2 linked regions of the Mus musculus genome follow. The protein of the gene in region 2 interacts with the protein of the main gene of each other region in a biochemical or structural test. Links are inferred from orthologs where the notes say so. Each region holds a gene or a part of one and is shown on either strand. Other genes may lie near its edges.

Region 1 (4,240 bases), on a different chromosome or scaffold from region 2:
TGGCCTATAAATGTCAGGGCTGAGTGCCAGTCCACCTCTCCATTCTTCTCTGGCTTCAAGACTCCTTCCTCATGACTCAGGCAGGCCTGTTGTCTTCTCTCCAGACCCCAACCAGCAGCAGATGTGACCTTTAATCCCATCCCAACTTCAGTTTGAGCCCAGAGGCAGTGCTGGAGAGAGGAGGGAGAACTGTGGGCTGGCTAACAGCACACATCTGGAGCCTTTCAAGCTAAGCCTCTGGTGGTTTCTGCCTTTAGTGTTCCCGGAGTTTGCTCTGTTGCATATATAGGAGCACGTAAACACACACAAACACACACGCACGCACACATGCACGCATGCATAAGCACGCACACACAAATACATACTTGCAATGTACTCAAAATAAGCCACCCACCCCTCCCCAACCTTTTTTAGTTTGGCCCCCACAAAGCTCCAGGTCAACTTCCAGCAGTCTCTACCACAGCCCTCAGCCCATAGCCTCCAGTCTCTCAGACAACAGCTAATAGTTTCAAAACCTTTTATTGAATTTGCTCAGCACTGTGCACATGTGCGAAGAAGCCAGAGTAAGGCACTATGCTCACAGCCAACAGGGAAGATCCCCCACTGGCAAACTACACCCCAACACTTCATCTGAGGAGTCTTCACTTCTTCCGGGGCTCCTTATCTGGGCAGCCCTCAAAGAATTCATTGCACATCATGGCAATGCAGGACAGGAAGACACAGTACTCCTGGAAGTCAACTTCATTGTCCCTGTTGCTGTCCAAGTTGCTCATCACCTTCTGGAATGCAGCTTCATCTGTCCTTTTCTGGCAGTAGAAGAGGAGCAATTAGAAGCCAACTCAAACCAGATATTTGCCTCCAGTCAGGAGCTCAGGAAGGTTTGCAAGCACTCCTTGCTAGCCTCGGGGCTAAACTATGGGATGAACACATGGGATAGCTGGGAAAGGATGTGACCACATCTTCCCCGTGCTTGTTTTAATTATCTTAATAGGAAACTGTCATAATAGTGATCCGTTAACTAATATAAGGTGTTATTGAGAGGATAATCTGCAGGCATTTGTGTGCCTCCACGATCATGTCTTCACAAATAAAAACTCGATTTCTAGTGCCCATCTCCGGAAAGACAGCCCTGATCTAGGCTGTGGTTTCAGACACTGACTGCCTAATGTGGTTGTTTTGGTTTTCCTCTGCCTCTTCAGTTATCTTCATCCTAAGCCTGTCTCAGCTGGGGGCTAGTGTGAAGTAGGTGGTTCATTGTGGTTCCGTACCAAGCACCCAGAGCAGGGATATATGCCAGCTATAGCTAAGTACTGCATCAAGACTAGTGCCTACCAGCCCCAGCCTCCTCCTGCAGATGCATCACGTGTGCAATACACAGGCAGGACCCACTTACCCCCAGGAAGCTAGGCAGCTCCCTGGTCAGTAGCTCCTTGAGCTCTGTCTTGTTCAGCTTGAACTTGTCACCCTCTTTGCCTGAGTATTTGTGGAAGGTGGACACAATTACATCCAGGGCCTCCTCCAAGGGTCTTGCCATGGTAACCGTTGAGACCTAAGGGCAGGAGACACAAAAGTAACATTCTCCAACCCACGCCAACAGTGTGTTGAGAACTGGATATGTGTTGCTGAGCATGACCCAAATCACACTCATTCTGTCCCCATTTTAAGTGCTCTATCCCAGCCAACTCTCTAAGAGATGGACCTCACCCCCTGGGGAGATCAGAGGAATGGGACCCATTGATGGCAAGAAGGTCACATGTGCTCTGGGCTCTGAAACCTGCAAAGCCTACCCCTCAAACTCTGGAGATCCATGCCAGCACCTTTCTGTGCCTCTCAGTCCTGGCCTCAACAACAGCAGTTTTCCATCAGCTTACTCACTCCCACAGCTCAACCACAAGCACCAGGCCCTGGCCCATTCTTCTCCCTCCCAGCGTTGGGCGCGGCTGCTGGCTGCCTGCCCAGAGGCAGACAAAAAAAAGTGGAAAAACCCCAGCTGCCTAATAGGAGTAAGATGAAGTGGCAGAGGTAGGGATGCAAGAGGAGAGGGTGGGGAAGCCAGGCTTTCTTGGCCTAGGTGCTATATGTTCATAGGGCTATTAAAAATAAGACACACTACAAACACGAATGCCTGCAGGAGGGTGCTGGAGAGATAGCTCAGTGGGTAGAGGTGCTTGCCACCAAGCTCCAGGGCCTGAGTTTGATCCCCACAGCCCACATGCTAGAAGGAACAGATTGACTCCCACACAAATTGTCCTTTGGCTCCCACAATGTCGCCTTGGCATTTGCTCCAGCCCAACCCATACGCTCATACACACAAATAAAAACTGTAATTTAAATACTGTAAAACAAAAAGGCCTACTGATGCCTTCGCTTTGCTTCCTGTACCCGAGTGTCCACACACTGTCTTGTATTACCCAGCAACACGAGTCAGCATCCTATGCATGACAGTGACTCCCAAGCACCACCAATATACACTATAGCAACATGCAAGCCAGCCTCAGTATCTCAAAACCTCCGGGAGCTCAGATGTAGCCATTTATACACTTTTTTTTTTTTTTTTTTTTTTTTTGGTTTTCATTCTCGTGAAAAACACACACACACACACACATACATGAACCTCCACATCAGAATCTCTCATCTGGATTTATTAAAGACATCTGTTCCCCCAGCAGCCCCCCTTTCTTCTACCCTAGCCTCAGCCTCTAATGCCGCTAGCAGTGCTATCAGACCAACACAACTCACCAGACCAAGAGAGAGGAAGTGCTGAATAGAGAGGTTTGGGGAGAGCCCAACAATCTGACCTATTTATACCCTGCCAGGCCCTGCCCATGCAGAGGATGGGGGAACATGGATACTGTGCTCTTGCTGTTGGTTGATGTAGTAAATGTCATAGCACCCTCGACCAGCCCAGTCTGGGAACCAGGCTTCCTGCTCCCTCCCCAGCAGGCACAATCAAGTAGTGAGTGAGCTCCAGTGGGCACGGCAGAGACTTGGATGGGGTGGACACCACCAAGCAGCCACAGCTCAGCCAGAAGTTTAGGAAGCTTTGAGAACGGGCAACCTGGACATGAGGTGTGGGCCACAGGAAAGGAGATGGAGATGTTATGGGCAAGGGATAAGGAGCTGCCCTGGAAATATGTGGCCCAGGAACGAAGGAGGTGACCCCAGCCAGTGGGACAATGTCAGCACTTCCCTCCAGCCTAAACAGCTTCTTGTCACAATCAGGAAGACCCAGGATAGAGGCTAGCAAGTCAGGAGGGACCTTGGGACCACCCCAGGTATGAAGTAGGAGCTATACCTAGGAGGCCATGATGGAGTTAGGGTGGCAGTGTGGCCTGGAGGTTTTCGAATGGATGGAAGCTGGAGTAAGGATATTGAGGAATGACAGGAGCATTCGGGGTTGAATGTTCAGCTTGAAGAAGAGAGTTAAAGAGGAAATAGGTAAAAGGGGGAGTCAGGATTAATCTCTAAGGATAGGGTACAAATTCGGGGATTGAGTGAAGGTTAGATGGAGGTTTGGCTTTGGGCTCCCACAACCATACTCTCCTTGCAGCATCTGGTCAGAAGTACCTCCCAAGGAGCCCCTTGTCCTCCTTGAAAGTCCAAGATAAGGACTTCTATCTCAAGACAGGGGACAGAGAGAGACAGAGACCCTCCAGTCTCATCTGATAGGACACGTGTTACCCCTACCCTCCTGAAATGTGTGCATTTCTACAGGGCCTGACACCGCTTTGGGGGTCCATGCCTTCCATGGTAAGCCTCCTACCTCCAGTAGTAAGGAGCATAAAGGAACAAGGACTCGGTCCCAAGGCCCAGTGTGTCCCATCAGAAAAAAACAAAAGTAAGCCAAGAAGACATTTCTTTATTGGGAGTTGAGGAGGCCCCTGCCACAGCGGTCCCAGTTGTGTGCACATGGCTGAGCAGAGATGTTCTTCCCTTCCAAGAAGAGAAGCGGCAAAGGCTGGCTACTGTCCCACCCCTCACAAGCTAGACATCCCTAGGAAAGCCTCGAAAGCTCATGGGTAGCTGGGTGGGGTTAGCACATCAAGAACTTGGCAAGTCTAGATTGAAAGGGGTACCACAGAGAGAGTGGGAAGGGTGTGGCTACACACCCAGGACCACCTCAAGGACAAAGATGGAGGACTGGAGCAGACCCTGCCCTTCTGGGATAGCGTACACCTTTGGATCAGAGGCTACTGGGGGCAAGGAGGCTCAGGGGGGCACTCTTTGAAGTACTCGTGGC
Region 2 (3,167 bases):
TGTAAGCCTTCTATTAACACGTCTCTTGTGTTCTGTGCAACGGGTGCTTGCAAACCCTTTGGGACTAGTGGTGTTTTCCCTTCTTGGGGTCTCTGTTTGCTAAATGCTTTGTCATACACTTCTAGTCAAGGACCAGCACAACAAAATGCACCTTCCCTTTCCTGCCTTTAGCATGTAATTAGCCACACCTTTCGTAGTCCTAAGACTCCAGAGCTGATAAGTTGAGGTGACAGTCTGAGGCATCAGGGACAAATATTTCCACGCTATTTTAAATAGATTGAACACAACAGCGAGCCCCCCACCCCGCTGGAAGGTATTTGTCGTTGTTATTATTAATAATAATGATGACTAATAATAATAATAATAATAAATACTTTCCAGCTTTCTCCACCTCAAGCGGTACCCACTAACTTCCAACTTAAGACAGGGAGCCTGAGACGTGTGTGGGCAAGTAAAATCAGATTTGTCTCACACCACAATCTTAATGGCATTGTCCTTCTTCAAAAGAACATGATAGAATGGAAAAACAAACAAACAAACAAACAAAACAAGCTGAAATGTGGGTTCCAGCTGCTTGTCCTAGAATATGAGTCTTGTCTTCACTGAACTATGTATTTACCTCTATGTCATGCGAGGTCCAGTACATCTAACTACAGGCATACCTAGGTAAAAGAATTCAAGTGGCATGCAACAGAGGTTACTGTGCACTGCCCGATAGAGCTATTCTGTGCAGCTTTATCATGTGTGTGTTGCTTTAATTAATGAGGCCAAAGTAGCTCTCAGTGCTGTGATTTCTGGGTCTCACGTAACCCAAATCATTTTGAAGACGAAAAGAGAACGTGGGCAGTCGTAAATCTAATCTTACTTTGTCAAACTTCCTTTCTCTCCAGTTGAACAGGTGATTAAGCCCAAGAAAAACAAGACAGAAGGAGAAAAGTCTACAGAAAAACCCAAAAGGAAGAAAAAGGGAGGCAAAAATGGAAAAGGCAGAAGGAATAAGAAGAAAAAGAATCCATGCACTGCCAAGTTTCAGAACTTTTGCATTCATGGCGAATGCAGATACATCGAGAACCTGGAGGTGGTGACATGCAAGTAGGTTTGTTTCCTACACAACACCTGAAATCCCCATCAATAGAAACTATTCACTTTTCCAGTGTGTAAACCAAGGATTTCATGAGCCAACATTATGTTTGTACAGGCAATTAAAATATAAGCATGTAAATCTAGAAAAAAGATTCTTAGCTTAAAGGCTGTAACAAATAGCTTTATGGCTACTGGTGCACAGTATCATTTTATTATAAATATTATATGTATGCAATGTATATATATATGTGCCTGTACATATATTTTAAGCCTTAAAAAAAACTTAAAGTATTTATCACACAACTTTTCATGTTGTTCTAATGTCCCCAAACCCTCTCAACGCACTAAAACTAAACTAAATGATAGAGGAATGTATTAGCTGTGACACCAGGAGTCAAAGTCATCGCTTGGTCCTAAAAGAACAAGAAGCATGAGTCACAGTGTCTTCTGGGAATATCCCACCCACACCCAAACTAATCACAACTTGTTCTTAAAGGCCTTTAGCTAGAATGTATTCTATGTTTCACGACTTTGCAGAATAGACAATGGCGTGACCTCTCTATGTTCACTTAAGTGACCGTATCATTAGGTAGTATGTTTGAGATGCAGAAAACCTTATCAACACCTGTATTTATGAAATATGATGTTGCAGTTGTCATCAAGATTACTTTGGTGAACGGTGTGGAGAAAAATCCATGAAGACTCACAGCGAGGATGACAAGGACCTATCCAAGATTGCAGTAGTAGCTGTCACTATCTTTGTCTCTGCCATCATCCTCGCAGCTATTGGCATCGGCATCGTTATCACAGTGCAGTAAGTACATCACAGCCTAAGACCTGAACTCTTGTCAGTATTCCTATCAGACTCTACTGTCATATTTTACATGAGTTTTTTTGTGGCAAGTGACCCCTGAGCAGAATAGAATCAAACCTTGCATTCCTTTGACTACCACTGAAATGATATACAAAGCCACCTTTCAGAATTAGGATGTCTTTAGCTTAAAAATTGATATTTTGATTACCATTTTTGATGATGGTGATTTCTGACACTCAGAAATGCCCTAGTATCATCTGTGTATATTTTTAAATGTAAGCATAAAGCTTGTGAGGAGCTAACTAGGGTCACACTAAGCTCACAGCACCAAATATACTTCTTTGGCATAAAAGGAAAACAAACAAATCTCGAAGGTCTTCAAAATGAGCAACCAAGGAAAGACCTGTGACTTCGCACAGTACAAGGCACCATTCTTGCTTGTAATTCCATGCCATGGTGCTCACTGGCTGACAGTTGGGACCTATTTTTGTCCTTATCGGATACCATAGTGTGGGAACATATTGAGAAACAAAGCGAAACATTTCCTCCCAATGGCATGGCGTAGGCAGCAATGACAACCTCTGTTACTGTGGTCCTCCCACAGCATCTTCCCTGCGCAATGGCAGATCTCACGCCTCGCTTCAGGACCAAAGAATGCCCACACTCCACTGTTCTAGGTCACAGGCACAGATGGGTACATGAGGATGGCATTGTCTGTCAGATAGAAGCCACTGGATAGGGGAAGCTGGAGGAGGGCCCACATGGTTCTGGGATGACTCACTGCTTCTAGGGCTTGGGAAAAGCAGTGGATTCATTATTCTAATTTTAGGTCTCGGTAAATTACTTTAACGACTGGATTGTGTACACGATCCATCACGGCTGTTCTTCAGGATACAGGAATTATCTCTTGCTATTGTTTATTGTTATCTTAAATTCAAATCAGAAGGTGATAAAATGGCACATAAGAGCTGTTTTGTTATGCACAAGACATTAGGTGTGCAGCTTAAATTTATTTTGCACACCTGGAATTTCTTCTAGAGCCTCAAGCCAGGTATACAAATACATTTAGGAAAGGCAAAAAGCCTCTATAAATTGTTCTTATTTGACATAGAAGAAATTGTGAACTAAAGGTGTTTTACAGTGATATAACTTGTGGCTTATTCAGCTTTTCATTCAGCTGATTCCCCTGGGAGGGTGTGGAATGACTCTTGGTTTATGTTGCCATCCCGTTTTCTTTGTGGCAGTGCTAGGAACTGAACTTCACACAGGT

Evidence for each region.
Region 1: the proteins of Areg (region 2) and S100a4 form a complex in vitro, tested with the Homo sapiens proteins (2 studies listed by IntAct, with this or other methods). The link is inferred for Mus musculus from reciprocal best matches to the Homo sapiens genes AREG and S100A4.

Annotation. Positions count from the first base shown.
Region 1 is NC_000069.6:90,602,306-90,606,545, reverse strand, and holds S100a4 (protein S100-A4), read right to left. Parts: upstream 2,777-4,240; 5' UTR 2,740-2,776; intron 1,916-2,739; exon of another isoform or gene 1,788-1,915; intron 1,550-1,787; 5' UTR 1,535-1,549; coding exon 1,394-1,534; intron 807-1,393; coding exon 642-806; 3' UTR 501-641; downstream 1-500. Other genes in the region: S100a3 (protein S100-A3), read right to left, coding at 4,191-4,240. UniProt on the Homo sapiens protein: Calcium-binding protein that plays a role in various cellular processes including motility, angiogenesis, cell differentiation, apoptosis, and autophagy.
Region 2 is NC_000071.6:91,142,599-91,145,765, forward strand, and holds part of Areg (amphiregulin preproprotein), read left to right. Parts: intron 1-890; coding exon 891-1,092; intron 1,093-1,735; coding exon 1,736-1,897; intron 1,898-3,167.